2 linked regions of the Arabidopsis thaliana genome follow. The protein of the gene in region 1 interacts with the protein of each later gene in a pairwise test. Each region holds a gene or a part of one and is shown in the gene's direction. Other genes may lie near its edges. The genes, in order: Prx37 and NAC3.

Evidence for each region.
Region 2: the proteins of Prx37 (region 1) and NAC3 interact in a two-hybrid assay, tested with the Arabidopsis thaliana proteins (one large-scale study listed by BioGRID).

The regions. Positions count from the first base shown.
Region 1 is NC_003075.7:5,593,577-5,606,879, reverse strand, and holds Prx37 (Peroxidase superfamily protein), read left to right. Parts: upstream 1-6,481; 5' UTR 6,482-6,617; coding exon 6,618-6,824; intron 6,825-7,578; coding exon 7,579-7,770; intron 7,771-7,872; coding exon 7,873-8,041; intron 8,042-8,148; coding exon 8,149-8,621; 3' UTR 8,622-8,843; downstream 8,844-13,303. Other genes in the region: AT4G08780 (Peroxidase superfamily protein), read right to left, coding at 2,521-2,727.
Region 2 is NC_003074.8:5,229,748-5,242,149, forward strand, and holds NAC3 (NAC domain containing protein 3), read left to right. Parts: upstream 1-4,709; 5' UTR 4,710-4,983; coding exon 4,984-5,164; intron 5,165-5,257; coding exon 5,258-5,526; intron 5,527-5,631; coding exon 5,632-6,135; 3' UTR 6,136-6,449; downstream 6,450-12,402. Other genes in the region: AT3G15490 (Regulator of Vps4 activity in the MVB pathway protein), read left to right, coding at 38-109, 245-348, 440-899. UniProt on the Arabidopsis thaliana protein: Transcription factors that bind specifically to the 5'-CATGTG-3' motif.

The DNA.
Region 1 (13,303 bases):
CTTGAGATAAGACAGCACTGGAATATCTATATAGAGTTGTAATAATAAAATAGTCATCTCAATTTCCGTAAGAAGTGGTTTGGTTGGTCCATAGAAAATAATAGCCACTCCAAATTGAACCAAAAAATAGTCAAAACAAACAAAATCAAACTTCCAAAAAGATAATTTATCCAAAAACGCATAAATTTTCAGATGTAGAAATAACTTTTTTTGTTACTTTGAATTTTTATTTAACTTCTGTTTTTTTTTTCCTATTGTTTTAATCAACCAAAAGAAAGCCAAAATTTCAAAACCAAACAATCAAAAGAAATCTATAGTTTTAAGTATCTTATTAAGACAAAAAGAAATCAAATATTTTTACGAAAAAATTGTGACAAAAATTATGACAGTATCGTGCGTCACGAACTGTGTCTGTTTATTCGACTATATTAACGTCGTCACAATCAATGACGAATTGTTACTGTTGTTAATCGTCTTGTGATCTTTTTAAGACCTTTATGGATTTGTGACGATTTTATTGTGACATTCTAAAATACGTTTCACTTTCGTCATAAAAAAATTATTGTGACTGAATATTGTTTTATTGTGACGATAATAACTGTATCAATATTCAGTTTTTTTATTATATAATTAATCTATCTTTATTTCAAGTTAATTAATTAATTAGACATTAAATGAACTAACCGAAATGTCTATCCTTATTTCAAGTTAACTAGATGAGTACCCGCAATACGTGCGGGCTTTCACTTTATATTTCGTAATTTAAAAGTATTTAAATGTAAGATTTTAGGTTAGTTTTTTAATAGGCAAGAAGACAAAAATCCTATTTGATACTAAGCTCCATAAATCAACATTTGTTTTTGCATTTTGCATTTAGATTCCTTACAAAATCTTTTCTCAGTAAACATTATTTTCAGAATTTTTTTTCATCTGTGTTAACCTTAAACCAAAACAATAAGACAAAATGGTAGAGGATTTGAGTCCAAGAATTTGATGATAGAATTCTCAAGTACTTCTCACCATTTTTCATATATTATATAGAAAAAGAACAAACTACAAAAACTATGAGCTAATCCACTATACAATTATTTAATCATATTTTGACTTAAAATTATAAAAATTAGGGAAAAATATCCAAGAGTATGAGAAAATCAATTAAATAATTTAATTTAAGAAAAAGATATACAAAATAAAAGAAAATTATTCTTGATACAATTAATTATGTAAAATTTTATAATATATACAATTAAATAATAAATCACCATAAACCATTAACTTACATTAATTATTAAGTGGACATTAGGCAAAAACTAAGTGATGATGTGTCATTCATATGAAGAGAGTTGACCAACTTTTATACATATGATTACACCACATATAGATAATATATAAACTTATGATCTTTATATATACAATGTTTATAATATTACCTGCGTATTTGTTATTATTAGTTAATTCGTTATTCTAAATGAACACTCATGCTACGCATGGGTTTTTGTTTTTAAAATTGTCGGAATATATGATTATAGTCTTTTGTTGATTTTGATGTTCATTTGTGTGTGTATGTTAATGTGTAATTAATAAATTCATATATATTTTATATAGTTATAATTTTCTATGATTAAATTTATCTATAATTCGAAATATCAATTTTATTATAATATAAATATTTATATACCTATTATTCAAATATTTCACTATCATGAACACACACAACAACATTATATGATATATTAATATGTAGTTATATTACTTATGTATTTTGAAACTTGCCTAACTTAATTGTAACAAACAATTTTTTATTCCATATATTCTTTTGTCATCTACTACACCAACCACATCATGATATGCTAGTAAATTAAGTCAACACTTTAATTCTCTTCCCTTTCATATAGCCATATAGAGTCTCGTGTTTTTGTGTGGGTATGTCTAATGTCTCAGATGACCACTACGTGAAAAAATTGTATATCAATGTTACGAAGTTATTAGAACGCACAAAAATAAACAGAAAGAAGGTCATATGATAAATCATAATCACATAACGTAATAATAAGAAAATATCCAACTAAAATTACTAAATTAATATGAGGTTAGGTAGCAAACATCTAAACTACAACATAAGTAAATTTTAGCCATTATGGATTAATAACTATTGATAAAAAAAATTAAAAAAATAATTAGAATAGAATGAAAGTAGTACTTTATACATTGTTATGATTTTTTATTTATTGAGTGTTTTTAGAAAATTCATTTAAGAGTGAGATTAATAGAGAATTTACACAACAAAAGACTTTTGATTTTTCCTCAATTAGTTGTACTAATTTTTTTTTTATAATTAATGTAAAATGACACATGTCATTTTCTTGTGTGATGATGTGTCACCCAAATGGAGAGAGTTGGCCAACTTTCATATATATGATTATATCCGTAAAGCATTCTCACTTTTTAGGATAAAACCATCAAAGAACCAAAAGAGTACTTAATATATACATGAATATATCGAATCTGGTGGTATCTTACATTAACAAAGCAGTCGTGGAAATGAAGACGAAGGATGCTTGCAGCGATGCGAGGGTCTGATCTCAGCGCATTGACAATGGTATTGGTTACAATATCAAAGACTTGCGGACATGTTTTATCGTAAAAGGAAGGGCTTAGTTGAGCATGAGACAATGAGACCTGAAGAAGGAGAAGAAGAAATCCCAATTTTATCAAAGAGGAATGCATTTTCTTTGCTCTCTAAGAGAATGTTTTTGGTTATGGTTAGATATGAGTGAATTTAGGTTTCTTCGTAACGATTCCTTATATAGGCAGAATAATCTAGCTTGGCGGCTTTTACTTTTGTGGATTATGAGATATTTTTATTCAAGTAGTGTATACGTTAATAGTCTATTACATATGGAATTGTACAAAGTGGTTTAAAGCATCTGTTTTTTTTCTTTCGGCTACTAGGTTTTAAAGTCTACAACACTTTAATTGTCAATGCTCAATTTGATTCCTATGCTATACAAGTGATAATTAAATTTTTCTTGGAATGTCTAATAAGAAGCATAGTAGTAACAATGTTCAAGAGTGTTTGACTTGAGAAGAAAAACATAGAGTTGTGGATGTTTTTTTTTAGTGTTAACAGGTTACTAGACCTCTTTTGTAAAACTAGGTGTTTAGAGTAAGAAATTGAGCAAAACAACATTAGTAGAAGAGAAGAATGAAGAATTGAACCGACCGTTTTTATGCAACATAGTAACAACAATGCTCTAGCTAGACGCATCATATATATGTGACTCAGGAGATGACTTGGCATTGTTTATGGTTTGATAATGATTTGACGATCGATCAATGTAGATTTTCGACATTATCTACAATTTTGGGTATGAACATGAAAAAACTTGAGTTCGGGTATGTATAGTAACGTAACGAAAGCTTATAGTTTTGGTATAATTATACCGTGATGACGAACTTGATGTTTGAAAGTGACAAACACACATAAAAAGCGGTGACTATATTCTAGCTACTCGATTTGGAATCAACGGTGTCAAGAGAGAATAGGAGATGTTTAGAGAAGGAATGAGGAGCGAAAGAGTGTGAGGAGACGACATTCCTTTGTTTTTGGCGTTATTACTATTCGAGGTAATGCTTTAATTAATGGTATATGTGGGTAAATTTAATTTTAGTATAATTTTTTGTTTTTGTTTTTTTTTCTTTGTTTTTATTTTTTGTTTTTTTTTTATCGACAATTTTATTAGTTACCATTTTCACTAGATCTGAGTAATTTGTATAGAACGTCATTTTTCGTTTGTTTTGGCCAATCATACATCTTATTACCTAGACAAATGCTTCCACTTTTGTGTGTAGACATGTGAAACTTCTACGTAGGTTGGCAACACCCATGGTTGGATGTCCGTATTTGATAATGTATAAAACCATCCCATGCGCAAAAACTTATCAGTTTCTTTACAGGAGTAATCAATGAAACAATGATATCCTGAAGGATTTATATTAACCGATTTAACTGCCATTGGCTCCAATTGAGCTAACGTCTAAACATTGGCTTCGTTTTCCGTTAATGGGAGAATGTTCCTTGGATCTCGATTAATATTCTCGTGAAGTTTTTCATTCCGTGATTTCTAAATATACCGTACGATCCAAGAAAAATTAGAACTAAAGAACCCAAAAAAAGTGTTCTCCAAAGTCAATAATTTATCTTTACATAGACCCAAGAAAATAGAAAAACTTCCGGAACTATTAGTATTGGTGATAATGCCAAGGTCTGAAATGCTGGTAGACACTCACAATTTTTTGATTAATAGTTAGTATAAATTTTTAAATTGAAAAAATGTATGAGATTTAACGTTTTGTTAATGTCTTTCAACTGTTTGGCGTATTATTCTGAAAGTGCAAGAAAAAAGATTGTGTATTTTAAAGATAATAGTTAGTATAGTTTTCATGGATTTTTCTTTTCGATACAAGGGTATATATATCATGGAATTCCAAATTTATTGTTTATATATACGTTGTAGTTGGATTCTATGTTAAATATTGTTGATAAAAAAAACGGAACAAAAAAATGCACACTGTAATAGGGTAAAAGTTAGATTATTCTAATTAGTTTAATTAGAATTACCAGAAAACACTCTATTAACATAAATCATTTACCAAAACAAAGAAAAAATGTTATTTTTTCTTCTCTTTAGTTTACGAATAATGTTTTTGTAGTGAAAGTTTCTTGTAAGTACTTTCAATTAATTAATATATCTATGATTCAACTACTAAGTACCAAATCTCACATATTACAGCAGCCCCCTTGGTTTGACGAATGATATCACTAGCAGCCTCTTTGGTTTGACTAGCACCCGGCTTGCTTTTGTCAAACCATGAAACTTTCTTTCATTTCATTATTAGTCTCGTGGGTCTCTCAACCACTCCATTGTCCTCTTTTTTTGGTTCGAATCTAGGACTTTTTGTGTCATACGACGAAGGACTTGCCACTAGGTCATCAACTTCAGTCGTCTTTTAATAATCAATATAGATGAGTTTATGTGGAAAATGCAAAAAGTTCTTAGAAAATGGGGAATTAAAAAAAACTTAGTGCTAGCACATGTTTTGTTTTTGTATTGATATGTGCTAGCACTAAGTTTTTTTTAATTCCCCATTTTCTAAGAACTTTTTGCATTTTCATCTTTACAATTTCAATTCATATTTATATTCTTGCCTAACAAAACCAATATAAGTAAAGACATGCACTTTGCTTCTTTCTATGTGTTTTCTTCACTTTTAGACACATGATTCAATTTTTTTAATAGTTAGGATGCTCAGAAACCGTTACTCGTATATCTCTCCAAGACTAAATAAAATTAACGTTCTTTTGGAGAGCAGATCCTTTCTAACGCAGATCAGTATCCTCTAAAATCTCTATATTTTCAGTAACCAAATGGTTTAACTACTAAATATCAAATATTCGTCGTGTGTTACATGACTAATTTTTAATATACCATACATAATTTTACAAGTTTATCCACTCTTTTCCTTATTTTCTACAATTCTTTTCCTTATTTTTTTGGACAAAAGACAATTATTTTCCTTCTTTTTTCCCAACAATTACTGTTAAAACAAATCACAAAAGACAAGTATACAGTAAAACCTCCATATATTAATACTCTATAAATTAATATATTTTTCCGATTCCAAATTGGGACCAATGTAAAAAGAGATACAATCGATAAATTTAATGATAATATTTTTTTTGAAAAATGCTATGTATACATATAGTACCATAATATTATAAAATAATATAAAAAAATCAAATGAAATATAATTTTTAGTAATGTTTCTTTTGCTTAAATTCATATTAGCTTTTGTTTAAATTTAATTCTAATATGTTTACTGTATCAAGTATTTTGGTGTTGTTTACTAGACATGAAAATTATTTTGTACATGTAAATGGTTCTAGAAAGATATTTTATTTAGTAAAAAAATCTTATATTTTCATTGAAAATTAAAAAAGTTATGAAATTAAGAAACTCTCTCTATAAATTAATAAATTATAACATTATTAATTTATCGATAAATTAATAGCTTTTTAAATTAATAGAATTTTGCAGTCCTAATACTATTAATTTATAGAAGTTTTACTGTATATGCACAAAAAATAATAAACATACAGTATTGGTATAGCCAAAAAAAAAAATGGATACATAATCTTACGTGAATGGCTAGATAAAAACGTCTAATTTCAATAGAAAACACTGATAAATAACCCTATTTACAGAAGAGAAAGTTTAAATGTATTTAAAGTGTGAAATAAAGAGATTCTGAATAAGAATACGCTATAATTAAAGTATTTTTAGACTTTAAAACCTAGTAGCCGAAAGAAAACAGATGCTTTTAAACCACTTTGTACAGAGTCATTCAACAAATAACAATGTCTTATTCAAAGTATAACATTCCATATGTAATATACTATTCACGGATACACAACTTGAATAAAAGTATGTCAAATAATCCACAAAAGTAAAAGCCGCCAAGCTAGAACCTTGGCCTATAAAAAGAATCGTTAAGACAAACCTACATTCACTCAAATTAAACCATAACCAAATAATTCTCTTAAAAGAGCTAAGAAAATGCATTCCTCTTTGATAAAATTGGGATTTCTTCTTCTTCTTATTCAGGTATCATTGTCTCATGCTCAACTAAGCCCTTCCTTTTACGATAAAACATGTCCGCAAGTCTTTGACATTGCAACCACTACCATTGTCAATGCTCTAAGATCGGACCCTCGCATCGCTGCAAGCATCCTTCGTCTTCATTTCCACGACTGCTTTGTTAATGTAAGATACCATTAGAATCAATATATTCATGTATATTTTAACTCTTTTGGTTCCCTATAGTGTAGCCCTAATAAAGAGCGCGAGGGAATGCTTTATGGATATTATAAACTTGAAATTAGGATATAAAAATGTGATAGACTTTTTGTTTTGTTGTTCGACTCAAATAGTTTGTTTCATGGTTTATTCATTTCAAACTGTGAAATTATTTTGGTAGTTTTGTTATTGAAATTTTGGCTTTCTTTTAGTTAGTTAAAAAATTGAAAAAAACAGGAATGAAAGAAATTTACAAAAACAATAGAAATTTACTTTTACATACAAAATTTATGTCTTTTTAGTTAAATTATTTTTTTGGAAGTTTGATTATACTTATTTTGACTAGTTTTGGTTGAATTATGGAGACTGGAGAGGCTATATATAAAATGGACCAACAACTTCTCAAAGACATTAATTTGATATTATTAGTACAAGTCTACATAGATTGTAGTGCTTTCTTATCTCGAGTTTCAGATTCTGTGTCAAAGTATGCTCGAAGATGTTTATAGTGAACTCATATTTTTTGGATTTCAAATATTCTGTCTTCGGATTCACGTGAAAAGATTATGCTATCGATAGTGTGATACATGTAGTAGTATAACTTGTTTATATTTAAATTCAAAGAATCTAAGATCAACTGTTTACGGATGTTAAGATTTTCTTTATGTAAACAATGTTGTTAGTTACTAAATGTGAAGAAAAATATTTTGTTTTGAAAAAGGGATGTGATGCATCGATATTGTTAGACAACACCACATCGTTTAGGACGGAGAAAGATGCGTTTGGGAACGCTAATTCCGCTCGAGGTTTCGATGTGATCGACAAAATGAAGGCTGCCGTGGAGAAAGCATGTCCTAAAACTGTTTCATGTGCTGATTTGCTCGCCATCGCGGCTCAAGAATCTGTCGTTTTGGTATGCATCTTTTACTATGCTATCCAAATGGTTTCTAGACCATTTTGTTTAATTTATAAGGAAGATGAGAGATAATTAGACCAAATATAATTGTTACTTTAGGCGGGAGGTCCTTCATGGAGGGTTCCAAATGGAAGAAGAGACAGCTTAAGAGGGTTCATGGATCTTGCTAATGATAACCTTCCAGCTCCATTCTTTACCCTTAACCAACTTAAGGATAGATTCAAAAACGTCGGACTCGACCGTGCTTCTGATCTCGTTGCTCTTTCTGGTACGTTATTTCGTTGGCAACATTTTCATCTATAGTTGTAGTCACTAATAACTCAATATGATTATTGGTCAAGTTTATTTATTCGTTCTATATTTTCATTTGGTTAGGTGGTCACACCTTTGGCAAAAACCAATGTCAATTCATAATGGATCGGCTTTATAACTTCAGTAACACTGGTTTACCCGACCCAACCCTTGATAAATCTTACCTCTCCACACTCAGAAAACAATGTCCACGTAATGGAAACCAGAGTGTATTGGTAGATTTTGATTTACGTACGCCAACACTCTTTGACAACAAGTATTATGTGAACCTCAAGGAGAACAAAGGACTTATCCAGAGCGACCAAGAGTTATTCTCTAGCCCTGATGCTTCAGACACTCTTCCTTTAGTCCGAGAATACGCTGATGGTCAAGGGAAATTTTTCGATGCGTTCGCGAAGGCAATGATAAGGATGAGTAGTCTTTCACCTTTAACAGGGAAACAAGGAGAAATAAGATTGAACTGTAGAGTGGTGAATTCGAAATCTAAAATCATGGATGTGGTAGAAGATGCTCTTGAATTTGCAAGCTCAATGTGAGGAAATGTTTTTCTTTAACAATAAATAAATTATCAATGTTGTCAAGATGTTATCTTTTTTTCTTACTTCCTTGTTTGTTTTGTGTTACTTATTTAAATTCTATATAACTATTAAACCTTGAATCCATAAATTATTTTTACCTATAATGAAAGAAACATTAAATTATCAATACTAAGTAATGGTCGTACGTCGATATTGTTGAACGTGGCGGATAAGTAAAACGGGTTTTACTTCTTCTTAATCTTACTTTCTCTATTGTAATATGGTTATATACCTAAATTAGTGTTTTCTCTTGAAGTTAGACATAGCTAGTGATAGCTATTCACGTAAGTTTCTATATATGTTTATGTATTCACATGAAGTTTATAAACTTATTGTACACGTTGATAAATTTCAACAATTATTGTAGAAAAAGGAAAAGAGTAATTAAGCAAATAATTAAAATCATATATATATATATATATATATATATATATATATATTATGTAGTACAAAGTAATCATGTGCATAAAAGCGAGAAAAAAAAAACACAGAGAATAAAGCGTAGGTCTTTAATCAAGTTGGATTATCCAAATCGTAAAACTATATTGGTTTTGTTAGTCAAGAATATAAAAATGAATGTGTCGAACACATACCGCTACAAAGAAAAAACAAACTATGTGCCTAAAAACATTTTGCATTGTTCACATAAACTCATATTTATCAATAAATATAAGACAACTAAAGTTGATGACCTAGTCAGTCTTTCATATGACACCAAAAGTCCCGATTCCAACTCCGATAAGATATAATAAAATGGGTTGAAGAAAGCAAACCGGGTGCAAGTCAAACCAAACATGTTGATTTACTTCGTCAAATTAAAGAGGCTGCTCACTGTGTAATATATGCAATTTCGTAGTAGTTAACAGATCCTTAATATATTAGATAATTAAAAATATAATGATTTATTTACTTCAAACACTTTATGTCGTTAGTTTTGTTATTGTTACTACAATATGTTCTGCAAAAGAAAAAGAAAACAACTCTTCAAATGTTATTTTTTTTTGTAATTGTTTACTCTTAACTAGTTTATAATAAATGCGGGTCAAACCTATGAATTCGAACTTAATTTATAATATAATTATAAATATTTTTAACAGCTTTTTTACATATACATACATTAAAATTTTCTATATTAATCTAAGAGTAATTTTAAATTTATAATCATAAAAATTCGTTTTAATATATTATTTATCAAAATTTTAAAAACTTGAAATGCGTGATAAAGAATTCTATTACGAATAAAATTCGATATTCTTGGATTGATCTACATTTTGCAAATTGAAGGTAAAATTACATAAAATGTAATTCAAAGCGTTTTTCCTTTTTCAAATAATCCTAAAATAATCTTTAAAAAAAAATAAATTTCAATCACAATTCATAACTAACAAACAATGAAAAAATAATTTCAGAAAAAACCCATTTTATAAAAATAACCCATGCACCATAATCGAGAAAGCTTCCTTGCCACAGTTCTCCAAAGCTGATGAAGCTATGGCTCGTCGACATTGGGATTCCCTGCGATACTCTCTTTTCAATTTTGTTTTCGTTTTTTTTCTTTTTATGGTAGGTTTTCCATCACTCTCAACCATCGAATGGAGATCGAGGTGAAGCTCACAGCCTCTAACGGTGGTGTGTGTGGTTGGACTGGAAGGTTTCCACCCTCTGAAAAGACTACTACTAAATCTCGGCTCCACCCGTGGGCAGATCTATTCTCGGGCTCAGCCCAAAGATCCTTGATGTCGTCTCATGTTTCAGCTCCGCTCATCGTTCTCCTACATGGCGTTGCTCCATCTCGCTTAATGTAAAGTCAAAGATTGCTCTGAATATATTCTGTTGTGTTATTCATATTGAAGGTGACGATACAAATATATATGTGTACATGTCGAGTTTAAACCTAATACACAAACTAATAAGGCTTCGTACAAGCCCATTTTCTAATCATCTTTGTTTTCCTCTAAGCCCATCTCTAATACTCCCCCTCAAGATGGACAGTGGAGATCTCGAACACCCATCTTGCCAAGTAGATACTGCAACTGTTTTCGACCAAGGGTTTTGGTAAGAAAATCGACCAATTGCTCTTTCGTACGAACATGTCGAGTAGACACAATGTCATCTTTTATCCCATCGCGAACAAAATGACAATCTCTTTCAATGTGTTTCGTACGCTCATGGAACACCGGATTGGTTGCGATGTGTAGTGCAGCCTTATTGTCACAATGAAGAATTATTGGTTCTGGATGGGGAATCTGAAAGATAAGAAGCAATTCCTTGAGCCATATGAGTTTCTGATAAGTATAAGCCATAGCTCTGTATTCGGCTTCAGCGGAAGAAAGTGACATACGTTCTTGCTTCTTTGTCTTCCAACATATAGGAGATTTTCCAAGTAAAACAACATAACCAGACAGTGAACGACGTGTTTTTGGGCACTTTTGAAAATCCGAATCACAATAGGCATTCAAATGAAGATCATCATCCTTGCTTAGCAATAAGCCTTGACCACAAGTCCCCTTTAGATATCGTACCAGACGAACAGCCGCTTCCCAATGACGTGTACGTGGTTGTCCGAGAAATTGCTTTAGAAGATGAACTACATAGCAATGGTCCGGTCGAGTAATAGCAAGATAAACCAACCGACCAACTAACCTGCGGTATTTAGTTGGGTCAGAATAGAATTCACCATCTTCTTTGGCGAGAGTATGATTCTGTTCAATGGGAGTATCAACAGGTTTAGCTCCTAGCAGCCCGCATTCAAATATAATATCTAAGGTATATTTGCGTTGCGAAATGTATATCCCTTGTTTTCCTCTAGAAACTTTGATCCGAGAAAGAATTTTAAAGGACCTAAATCTTTCATGTGAAAACATTCACTCATATACCTTTTAAACTCCGTAGTTAAGTTGGAATCATTGCCTCCAACGATGAAATAATCCACATATACTAAGATATACAAGCACGAGTTCCCATTGAAGTATGTGAAAAATGAGTAATCCGTGTAGTTCTGCACAAACCCGAATTCTATAAATGCATTTGAGAGCTTTGAAAACCAACATCTTGGAGCTTGTTTGAGCCCATAAAGCGACTTTTTGAGCTTACACACTTGTGAAGGATCCACATTTTCAACACCCGAAGGAAGCTTCATGTATATCTTTTCCTCTAGATCCCCATGTAAAAACGCATTATGAACATCCATTTGAAATAATTCCCAATTTCGAGCAGAAGCAACTTTCAAGAGTGTACGAATTGTCGTCATCTTTACTATGGAGCAAAAGTTTTGTTATAATATGTTCCTTCCTCTTGTCTATTCCCAAGTGCAACAAGACGAGCTTTGAACCTTTCTATGGATCCATCAGAGTTGTACTTAATTCGGAAAACCCACTTGCAACCTATAGCATGTTTGCCTTCCGGTAACGACATTATATCCCACGTTTGGTTCTTTTCAAGAGCCCCAACCTCTCCTTTAACTGTATTAGTCCATCGCGGATCACTCATCACTTATTTAAAGGAAGTTGGTTATGAATTAGCGCTTATTGCAGCTAGGAACATTTGCTGAGGAGGGGAGAACCGATCAATTGATACATAATCAGTGAGAGGATAGAGACACTTACTTGAGGAGATTTGAATGGAGGCAGTTGAAGTGTGAGGGGGTTTATCAAGTTGTGTTCCCGAATATGTGACATATGGCTCTAGAAGTACGAGCCTCATCCTCTTTCTTTTACCAACCCCAAGTTCTTCAAAGTTAGATTCTGCACTTGTTTATGTTTTTTTAGGTATCGAGTCACTCGATTCAGCCTGATCGATTGATCTGGAGTCAGGATCGATAGATCCATCTCTATCTGGAATGTTTGCATCGATTGATCAATCTTCTGGATCGATCGATCGGTTTTTGTCTGAAACTTTTTCTTTTGTTAGATCGATCACGCTAACTTCTGGATCGATCGGTTGATTCTCTTCTGTAACTTGACTTGATCTCGGATCGAGCAGGCTTGCATCTGGATCGATCGAGCTTGTATCTGGGAGTAAAAGAAACTCACCCTGTCGACTAGCGATAGTCGAATTTGGACTGTTATAATCATCTTCTCTTGCTAGAGCACTCTCAGAGTAAGGAAAACATTCCTCCTCGAAAGCAACATCTCGGGAAACAAAAATTCTTTCAGTTTGAAAATCCATCACTAACCATCCTTTCTTTCGAAATTGATATCCAAGAAAAAGACATCGAGCACTGCGATCTTCAAATTTGTCATTCGAACGTCTTACTAGCTTTGCATAGCAAAGGCACCCAAATATCCTTATATCATCATAAGAAGGAGGATTCTGAAATAATACTTCGTATGGTGTTTTCCCTTTAAGTAGGATTGAAGGCGTTCGGTTGATCAAATGAGTAGCAGCTTGATTGCTTTCTCCCCAAAAACGAGTTGGAAGCTTTGCTTGAAACAACAATGCTCGAGCAACATTCAGTATATGTTAATGTTTCCTCTCGACTCTCCCGTTTTGCTGTGGTGTATCAACGCATGAAGTTTGATGTACAATACCGTTTTCTGCGAAATAAGAACTCATACACATGAATTTTGTACCGTTTTCCGTTCTTATTGTTTTGACTTTCTTGTCAAATTGTCGAAAAACCCATGCCACAAAGTTTTTGA
Region 2 (12,402 bases), on another chromosome or scaffold:
ATGTTCTGTTAACTTACATCGGAATAGAAGAGAGTGTATGGTCAGACAATCACGGTCCGATATCGCTCAGCTCCTTTCTTATGGTCGCTATTCAGAAGCTCTTCCTAAGGTATCTGAGATTAATCTCAATCACCTGGTAGATTTTTGCTTATTTGATCAAAATCTCTATCACATCACTTAATTTGTTGGTTATTATCCCTTGATTCATCTTTCTTATTCTGATTTGCAAATTTTAAAACTCTAGGCGAAGCAATTCTATGAAGATGAGAGAAGGTTATCGGCATATGATCAGGTTGAGCTCTTCTGCACAACCATCTTGCAGAATATATCTTCTTTGAAATATGAAAAGTAAGTTGTTATTGATATCTTGTAACATACGGTAGCATAAGGAAACCAAAACGGTTCGTAAACCCTAATTTCCGCATGTTTCTCTCGCCAGCAATGTTGATCTGTTACCGGAAGAAACTAAAAAAGCAATGGCCGGAATTATATTTGCTGCATCAAGAATTGGCGAGCTTGAGGATCTTCAACACATAAGGAGCTTCTTCGTTCAAAGATTTGGGCTTAAGTTTGATAAAGAGTGTGTAGATTTGCGCCAAGGAAACGTCGTGGGTTTTGAGATAGTCAAGATTCTAAACACGAATATGCGGGGAGATGAAATTACACATATTGTAAGGGAACTTTCTCATAAGTACAAAACCAACATCACTACTTCTACGGATTCAATAAGTGAAGATTTGGCTTCAAGTGACGATCTCGGCATTGCCGATTCTGATGCGATGAAGGTTGAGAAAATGAAAAGGGCTCTTCGGAGAAAGAAAGTTATGAAGGAGAATTCTAAGTTTTTGCATCCAAATCTTAGAGAGTCTCAGGGAAGAGATCGATCATTCAGAAGATAAGAGTTTGATTGGGATTGTTATTTGGTTAAAAATTAAAATCTTATTACTGTAAAAGAAGGAAGAAAAAAAACGCAGCATATACAATTTTTGTTATATTTTCATAGTATACAGTATTTGATTATTTTCTAATTTTAATGTCAATAAATATCATTATTTTATTTATGCCTTCCTAGAATACTTCTCTCTTGATGCAAATTTTATAACAATGATGCCAAAACATCACATAACATTATAATGCTTTCAGTTTTGTAAATATGATTTTTGAAAATTTATGTTCATTAATGATATGTAACTTCTCACAATAAAAGTCTAATATCCTAATTTAGTTTTTTTTTTTTTAATGAATCATGATCTATAGTATTAAATATAAACATAAAAATATTTAGTTCAATATAAGTGAAAGATATCAAAGGAATATTTTGTAACAGAATTTATCTTTTTGGGTTTGTATTCTTACCCGTAGATTATTTCAATTTTTTATATAAAAAAAAAAAAAAATATGGGTGAAAAATTGATTCAAGAAACAGTTACCAAAGAATTTCATATTTTCACACCAGATTTGAGACTTATTTATCAGCGAATATAAATTGTTTCGTCGTGCTAAAAGTAAAATTATCTAATGTGAAAATGGTACATGTGAAACACCGTCGTGTGTAAAACAATTCGATGCTTGGAAATGGTACTCTCGCTAAATTTAGTGGGTCTCCAAAATTCCATGCGACGACTTAGTTATTTACATAACACTATGAATGGGCTATGCAGTATTTGTTGAGATTGAGATATAATCGTTTTTGCTCTCATTTCATCACATACTCAACTGAATTAGTTCATATGATACTACATCTAGAAGATTATTGGGTAGTTTTCGGTTCAGAATTGCATGAATTCAAGAGATTTAGGACTCCGTATCTGGTACAAGCTTAAATGAACCTATTTCAAACAATAAAAATTAGTGGGCCTGAAACTTTGTTGGGCTTAAAAAATCCTACATACTTTATCGGCTGTAGAAATATATCGATACCTAAACACTAAACAGACCAATATCAATAACAGACCTACTAAACGACTTTGTTCATGTTTAGCGTTTATAAAAAAAGTTAAAAATGTTGGCAACAACATCATCCGATCCATATACTCTTATCAGGAACGGAAAACAAAAAGGTCAATAACAAATAAAAAAATATAATTGGCCATAAGTAGTGAATAGTGATTAAATATGATTTATCCTACAATTATTCGTTAATAACTAACTAAAAATATATTTTCTTATACCAAAGAAAACTATACAAACTACTTAAATCAAACTTGTAAGATAAGATATAGTTGGATGAAGTGGGGGTTTGATCTACGATGGTCATCTTCATTGTTTGATTCCCCCTTTTTCGTTTCTATTCTATTTTAAGAATATGAAAAGACGTATAATATGCACAAGTTGGAGAGAATATTTATCAGCTTTTCAGAGTTTAGTATACTATATATGATCTTATCGAAATTTATACCTTTTCTATATATATATATATATATTAAATCGAAACTTTCTTTGTTATCAGTAGCTTAATGTTTAGAAATATTCTTATTATAGTGTTTGATTAAATATGTTTCTAGAATCGAAAAAAATAAAAAGAAATCATTATATTAAATTACGATAAAAAAAGAAAAATTAATTTAATAAAAAAGGGAAACATTATTTCATTTAACTAGCTAGTATTTTAACAAACAACTAAATAGTTGTAATTTATTGTCATAATATATATATTCTGAATAAGAAAAATCCACATATGTAGCAAATGTATTATACATGTGTATGACAAAAGTTTTACAAAATGGTTGAACTTAAAAAAAAAATATGTCTTAAACATACGTAAGACTACACGTAATATCAAAATTAACATGCTTAGACATAGTAATTATAAAGCTTTATGTAAAGCAAGACTGATTCTATTAATTAATTGATGGATCAACACTTTTAGCAATTGGGGATATTGTACTATTTACTGGATTATGCTTGTGGAGGGAGCTCATGGTGCTCCAGATTATCAAATTTTATATATGGTAGAAAAATAATTATACCATTACAATGTAAAGCATTCGAGTTCGAATTTCATTGGCGCACTTTGATTTTATATAGGAAGATTGAGGTTAAGTTGTAATAAGTGTGATATTCATATTATTATTGGAAGTTTATTGGTTTAGCCATATGGTTTATTCAGCAAACCATTAACTAAACTCACATGTCAAAAGTTGAAACTTATACCACCTTGATATCCACGTCATCAATTCTTAATACACTTTTGTATTTTGACCCAAATTTACGGGGTTACACGTTATGTAATTATGATATATGCATGACATACACGTTATGATATATGCATGACATCGCTAAAATAGCATAATGTTAATTAGTTATCTAAAACTAAAGACCTGTGTGTGGATATTATCTTCCAACATTAACAAAAAAATCCCGAAAAGGAGAAGAACAAAAGCTTTTAAAAAAACTTTGATCACCCCGTTCTATACCAATTGATGTATCTTTAATGGAAGAGAACCATTATAAATAGAAACGAATTAACACCAAATGCACCGTGACACGAAAGATATTGAGTGTAAGAAACCCCAAATTCCTTGTTATATTCGCTTAGAATTATTTTTACAGCACCATGTACATGTGATCACAAGATATCAATTAAAGTTAGCTAATTAACTTTATTTTTCATTTTTTGGGCTACTAGTTTGCTAATTAACTTTTTACCGAGAAAAAACTATCAGTAGAAAGCCAAAAAATTCAATGAATAAGAAAAAAAAAAAAAAAGCCTAAACTTACATACATATATGATATATCTACGATAAATTTGCTGATAAACGATCTGACTTCTAACTAAGATTCCTGTTTTACCTATTTTAAAAAAAAATCGAGAACCATGAATCAAAGCTCAACTATGTTAATCATGATTGAAATCACGTACGTTCTCGAATGCTTAAATAAATATGTTAATCAATAAACCGCCATAAATTGGTTAAATATAAATCTACTTGCAAGAAAATTGTAATTGAACTTTATTTTCAATTGGTAAAATGTTCCTTTTTCACGTACACAAAAAAGTGTTTGAAGAGAAGCGTGTTTGTGTTATACGGACTTACGAAAATCTTGTGTTCCCATTTCTCAACCACAAAAGCCTAATTTCTTGGTACCTCTGATTGTATACTATCGTTTCACAATTACAGTTTCATCTGATTTCAATCAAAAATTACAGTCTCATATGGATCAAATAGAAAAATAACGAGAGTCTGCATCATCAACTCGTGTTTGTTGTTTGTCCCTCTCTCTGATCTTTAACGGCTTTTGACGAAAGAAAAATATCCCGCCTAACTCAACCAATAGACACAAGACATGTGTCGGCTTGTGGTAGTTCTATCCGTATGAAAAACGCTTTCCATGTTACCATCCAGTGAACTCATCCCATCATTCACTTACACGTGTTTTTTCTTCTTGACGACCAAAAAAAAACAATTTGGCACATACCCATTAAAAAAAAAATACTTCTTATTTTTCATAATACTTTTCGTAGATTGTCACTGTTATGTAACTCATTCATAGAAATTTACCGCGTAAATTGCATGAAAAATCACTAGTCTTAAGAATCACCTAATTTGTTTTTCTGAACTTACAAATATTCGCAAATTACTTTCAGTTAACTCCCTAATACTTGGGAAGACCATTGACAATACAAAAAAAAAATCATAAGAGGAGGTACAGTCACACACACAATATTACAACATTACTAATATAAATAATCAACTTTATGGTATAGGTTCAAAGAACCAAAGGGATCGCATAAATCACGACGCTCTAATTGATCCACGTGTCATGATAAACATAAAGTGGGACCCGTATTGAGGCTGCACGTTAACGAAGATTGGGCGGCGGTGTAATATTATATTATATATATACATACACGAGTAGCAGAGCTTCGAAATCTTTAATCTCAGAATACAAAAAAGAAAATCAAAGAAGATAGTTTTGTGATTGTTTTCTATAAAAAGTGCAGATATTTTCTTTGTCCTAGAGAAAGAGGTGATAGGAAAAATGGGTCTCCAAGAGCTTGACCCGTTAGCCCAATTGAGCTTACCGCCGGGTTTTCGGTTTTATCCGACTGACGAAGAGCTGATGGTTGAATATCTCTGTAGAAAAGCCGCCGGTCACGACTTCTCTCTCCAGCTCATAGCTGAAATCGATCTCTACAAGTTTGATCCATGGGTTTTACCAAGTACGTATAACCTAATAACCTTAACCGTGTTTGGTTTCTTTGTAGCTAGTTATGTTTTTTTCTCTTCTAACTTGTCTTTTTGGTTCTTTGTAGGTAAGGCGTTATTCGGTGAAAAAGAATGGTATTTTTTCAGCCCGAGGGATAGGAAGTATCCAAACGGGTCAAGACCTAATCGGGTTGCCGGGTCGGGTTATTGGAAAGCCACCGGTACGGATAAAGTTATCTCGACGGAGGGAAGAAGAGTTGGTATCAAGAAAGCTTTGGTGTTTTACATTGGAAAAGCTCCAAAAGGAACCAAAACCAATTGGATTATGCATGAGTACCGTCTCATCGAACCCTCTCGTCGAAATGGAAGCACCAAGGTATAAATTTAGTTAAATACATGATGTATCCAAAAAGATAAGTATATAGTAATTGTAATTATACTGTTCAACGAATAACATATTTTAAACTGTTTTTATGTTCAGCTTGATGATTGGGTTTTATGTCGAATATACAAAAAGCAAACAAGCGCACAAAAACAAGCTTACAATAATCTAATGACGAGTGGTCGTGAATACAGCAACAATGGTTCGTCGACATCTTCTTCGTCTCATCAATACGACGACGTTCTCGAGTCGTTGCATGAGATTGACAACAGAAGTTTGGGGTTTGCCGCCGGTTCATCAAACGCGCTGCCTCATAGTCATAGACCGGTTTTAACCAATCATAAAACCGGGTTTCAGGGTTTAGCCAGGGAGCCAAGTTTTGATTGGGCGAATTTGATTGGACAGAACTCGGTCCCGGAACTCGGACTGAGTCATAACGTTCCGAGTATTCGTTACGGTGACGGTGGAACGCAGCAACAAACTGAGGGGATTCCTCGGTTTAATAATAACTCGGACGTCTCGGCTAATCAGGGTTTTAGTGTTGACCCGGTTAACGGATTTGGGTACTCGGGTCAACAATCTAGTGGGTTCGGGTTTATTTGATTGTGTAATGGTAACGTAATAAGAAAAACATATTTTTATTTTTTGTCCGTGTCAGATTAGTTAATTAATATAGCGTAGAATTCGAACTCTAGGGTTAGATTTAGGTTCTACGACTTGTATTGTATATTCGTCGTCATTTGTCCTGACATTTACATTTTTGTAAACTTTTATAGCTGGAACTTTTGTATTGATCAATTATTTATTAGAAAAACAGATATTGCATTGGATCTATAAGTTTTGTACTTGCTATTGCTAACGATAAACGATAGAAATGTGAAAGTTTCCTTATCATTCATGACACATTTTTGTGTCAACATCATGTAGTATTATCATTAACAACGAATCAGCGATTCATAATTTATTATATTAATCGCCATAATATATCGATAATCTAGGAACCATAAAGCGAATATGACTTTGCTCGCTATCGCTCATCGTTTAATATTAGTACCAGCTAAAACGAACAATAGATTTGTCATCATCTTTCGCTGATGACGGTAACCATATCATAGCGAACATGACCAAAAATGTATGTTTATCTGAGATGATTTCTAGCCTATAGCACTAGTATACTTTTGTAAAATATAAAAATACTATTTATATAAACACATGTGGCATAAAGAAATTTCGCACGCGATAGTTGTGTATATATTCATTTATGTGCAATGGCATTTGCAAGCCGTAAGGTTTGAAATAGTAATATTGTACAGCTGTTTAAAGAACGTTCAAAATTTGTTAGAGAAATTGATATATATATATTTAAAAGGATATGGATAAAGATGTTATATTGTTTAATGGGAAAAGGATAGTGATGGTATTAGATGGCCAAATCTTAAAGACCAATTGGGGTTTGAAGATAAGAACAGAGAACGGACCGTTTGGGGTTTCCTGAAATTGCACGTGTGAGTCAGCATGGGCTGCTTGTTTGACTAGTTTAGAATCATTTCTTTCCTAAAATAGTAACAATTCACACCGTACAAGTTTTAAACACATCTACGCTTTTTGTTCGTATAAGTAGATTTTCATAATCAAAATTTAAATAGATTTTATCTGATTAACTAATTAGATAAATGTTGTGAAAAATAATTTTTACACCGAAATTAGCTAGGGAGTTTTTCTTTCTAGTCTACATGAATATCCATTACATTGAAATTTAAAGAGTTTATGGAATTTAAAGAATTGGCTATAACTTACGTCTTATTATATTTATTTTCTAAATCACTTAAAACCCTAATAATCGAATTAAGAGAAATCATTGGGCGATTGTTAGTTACTTTTGTCAAACCAATTCTTTGTTCTCTTTGTTTACATTGAAATCTTTTGTCTTCTTAAATAATCCAAAAATAAAATAAATAAAAACACTGTCTTCTTCTTACAAAAACTTTTGGCTACTCAAACAACTTGCGAAACTATAATTTTCTTTCTGTATCTTAAAATCGCAGAAAAACGAGAGATGGAAATGAGTTTGTTAAATATATATTTTCGTTTAAAGTTTGATAATTAAGGTGGCTGGATGTGAAAATATTTCAATTTAAAAAGAAGAAAATATTAATGTTCTACATGTAAATTTTGTTGGACGAAGCTCTACGCAACCCCTTAGAATAGCATATTCTATCGTAAATACATGAAAACGAAGGTTTTGAGTTTAATACTTTGTAACCATTTTGCATAGAAATACTTGTGGTCCATATTCATCAAGATGTTATTGTACGCTAAAGTCTAAACAAATAACCATTCATTCGTCCATATGTGATTAATCAGTAAACGAATACAGGCGCGTACGCAATTACGCATGGCATGGGGTTTAGTGATGTATATTAGTACTTTATTTTTTGCCATGCATCTATTGTAAAAAGTCAAAACATGAAATTAATATAAATCATTTGTTTATATTTTGTTCTTACGCGTAATAACAAATGATTTATACAATAATTTATGATTTTTGGTAGTTTATAACTGGAAGATTCCAAACCAAAATCTAAATTAACGTGTTATTCAAAGAAATGAAAATTTGTCCATATGGTAATTAATGTTTTATATAGGACTTGAGTATGTGTTGGGCCATACGCAAAAAGTGGATTCAGTTAGGCCTATGTATTTCTTTAACAATGGGCCTGAGTATTGGAAACGCAAATTATATATGTATCCAATTATATTTTTGTTAAAGAACGCAAATTATCTTGATCGTGATTATTTTCGTACTGACCGAGACTTGAGAAATCAGACTATTTTCTTTGACAACTTATATTTTAAACAAAAATAAACGTACATAGATACAAAAAAATCCTTGAGTATAACCTTTTTTTTTTCCTTGACTACAACTTTAATGAAAAATAAATCTAAAAACTCAAAAGGCTGAACAAAATGAGATGATGATTATCAGGTACTGTGTATATAAGTGCATAATATTTTGTTATAAAAATTTCGACTCCAAATATATTTTCGAAATAAAATTCAAAAGTGCTTTATAAAAGAACAAAGTTTTTCATTTTTCGCGACCTCAATTGTTCTATGGAGAAAGTTTTTTTTATTGGAGAAAATTTAAAGCTTCATCCATTATTAGTAAACTGGTTATAATTGATGTCAAACGAGTGCAACCGTAAATATAATATCTACGAGTGATTTCAGACTAAGCAATCAGTCTTTAAATATCTCACACATGCAAGTAATGCAATATCTTATAGTATCTAACAATGACATCTGCGATATAAAATACATTTAACCTAGACAAACTTTTTGTTGCTGGGTGATTCTACCGTTGCTTGTGTGACCTTCCGGGGCGTTGAGAAGGTAACAAAGTATATTTAACGAAGCAGACAATTGAGGAGGTCCTTAATCACTTTCCATTTTAAGCTTAAAGACAAAGATTAGAAAGAAAAAATAAAGCAAAGTCTCAGCAGAATCATGTCTTAATCTACTTGATTGATTCTTTCATCAGGCATAATTAATCATGGCCATTAATATCTCTAGATCATATCTCTAAGGAATACTTACGTATAACTTACGTTAAGTTGTACGTATTAGACATGACTAGTTTTCAGAAGATATCAGTAAAAAACATGTGATTTGAAAACTGATTTATATCATTTTGATTACAGATTAAAACTATGATTCCAACTAAGAAAAAGCATAAATTTCGAAAATTGTTTGAAAAATAGTTAACAACAACTTCATAAATAAATTATAAGCATATATATACATAACAACTTAACAAGATGTATATGGTTATAGGGAAAATATAGCTATGTATTTATACATCTTTTTTACATGTCAAAAATATATGGACCGAGTTGGAATTTTTTGGTGAAAAGGGATGGCCAAATAATTATCTAATCAAACATTGGGGCACACAAGATTTTTTAGTTAATTTCATTTTTTCATTTCATTCTTTGTATGCAATTAAAACGAACACATGTGACATGTGAATATGTGATATACCAATTACTTAATATTTCGGCTTTAAAAAGAAAAAAAAAAACGAACAAATCGGACACTGATTTGTTTGAACGGTGCGTACGTGGTGGGATGATGAAGAATTTGATCTTCCATATCGCAAGCTCATAAGATTCTCGCAGTAGTGTTTTTATTACGTGTTCTTTATTTTTTTGTTTAGAACTTGATTACTTAAATCAATCTCCAAGTTTCTTAATTATGTTAATTCTTCGTTTTTTGGATTCTTGCTATAACTTATCTACGTCAAAATTTTGTCCAATTTTACAGAAAAATCACAAAATTAGCATTTTAACACACACACACATACATATATTTAATTGGAAAAAATAGAACTAACAGCATTTTCTTCGTGAAACAAATACAGGAGCACGCATTCAAAAAATTAAAAGGGTCATGCAAAAAGAGCTTTTCTCAAATCCGTTTTGTATATAAGAAATAAGAAAAGAAAATTGTAGCTTTGTTTGATGTCATAAGATTCATGTGTTCTCTTTAATATTATTCTCAACTCTTGGAAATTTGACTAATTAATATGTAAGTTGCACAAAATAATGTAATTATAAGATCAATTCAGAGTTCAGACCAAATGTTTTGTAAGATGTCTCGAAATCTTATACTATATATCCACCATTTTTTATATATATCTTCCCCAAAGGAGTATATTATGTTCACAGCCGATGAATTCGTTATATCCGGGAAAGACCCAAATCAGTTCGAAAGCATATTCTTTTGAAAAAAAGGTTCAAATTAAACACGTTGAAAAATAGAACAGTTTAATTATCCGAGTTAGTTTCTAAAAGGCATGTGTCTTAAAACTTAAATTGAGTGATCACTAACTAACAACCTAATTTGTAACTAAATTTACATTTATTTCATTTAAATAAATTTATCGATGGAATCATAAACGTCTACACATCATATTGGCTTCTGTTTCAGATATCATATAAATCAATAAATCTGAATCTAATGGATGCTTGAAATGAAATAGCACTTTTTTTTTTTGAGCTAAAGAATTTTTTTTGTCAAAATGTTTGACAATCGTCCGATGTTTGGCATGTCACGTTACATAAGACCGTGTAATATGATGTTTAACTTGGCTTAGATATTTTTCTAAATAGAATAAAAGTGTGGTATCACATGATGAAAACTATGGTTACAAATGTTCACACACTGGATTATTTGAAAGTAGGTCGTTTTTTCTGCATAAAGATTTTTTATGAGGAAAGTTTTAAATACAATAAAAAGTTTGAAGTTAGGTTTACTATTATTAAACACCTTGTATGTAGTAGAGTGAAATTTACCAACCTGCTAACATATGTAATATACATGATACATGATACATGCCACGCATGTTTTTGTTATACAATATGCATAATAGTCATATATTAAATGTTTGATTCTTCACATTAAAACCAAAAAAAAATATATATTAAATGTTTGAATTGCCCTGGCATCCCACTTGCTTTAGCTTGGGACTTGTTTAGAGAGTTATAATTAAAATCCAGATTATCGAAATTGTCTTCTTATTTCAAATTTAAAACTAGTTGGTAATTAGTTGATTGGCATGCAGATCTTAGTTAGTAGTGTTGGTACTTTTCCATTGCGCCTAGTCCAAAAAAGATTGTTTTTTTTTCCAATACATATTATTACTGATTTCATATTAAATTTGAAAATTAAAACATTGAAAAGTCGAGTTTACGACCAAAACACTTTGAACGACATTTGGATTGAAGCAAATAATGATATTCTAGTGGTCATCATCATATTGGTCCATATCAATGATATTTTTTTGATAGAAACACCTTTTTACTACTGTAAAATGTGTGAATACTCACAACGTACTAAAAATTATAGGTTCGACGATCTAATTCTTCCCCAAAACTTTCATATAGCACTAGAAGTTTGAAAACTCTTGGTTAAAGAAAATAAAATGGTACTTTCAACAGTTACAAGTGTCTGTATATAATATAATATATTCAATTTATACGTAGTCCAGTTGTGATTGCACGATAACACCGTTATATATTTGGTATCTTTATCAATCAAGATTGTTATATGTTGATTTTTCAAACTAAACCATAATAATATTGACATACGGGATAAGCCCACTATTCAGTACCCACGTTATGTTGAAGATAACACTTACAAATAGGGGTCCCTAACAAATAGTTTAGAGTGTATATATTTGGTAAGAAAACTATTTTAATTATAGAACTCTTAAGTTTTGTAATATATCAAAAAATTGTGCGTGTTTGTGTTGTTGTTGAGATTCTGAACGTCTAGCAAAAAAGAAGTGGTGTGCAACCATGTAAAGCACTAGAAATCTTTGTGAATGCAAATAGAAGGATGTCTCTTGATCTGATGGATGTGACTAAAAAATGATGTAATTAAATTGACTAATTAGAGGTAAGCATTTATTTTAGTTGGTACAACGTGTGTAAAATATGGTCCACATTTCTCCTTTTTTTTTTTTTCTTTTTTTCTTTTTACTACTTTTTCTATTTGTTTTTCAAACAAAGTGCTCTAAACTGACAAAACTGGAGAAATAGTAGGCTGTATTTGATTTTGTGAACCAACCAAAAAACCTTTGTATTTGATTTATAATATTGTGTGTTTTAAACATAAAGAAAAAGATATGAGATAAGGAATCTCATGGTCAGAAGTCAAAACTAGAAAGTCATAAAATAAACCACTCCTAAGAATCTGATAAGTAAACAAACTATATATTTGCACACTAAACGTAATTTAGTGGTCGAAAAATATGCATGGGTTATAATCATCTTATGACGTTGGAAAAAAAACAAGAATAAATCATAT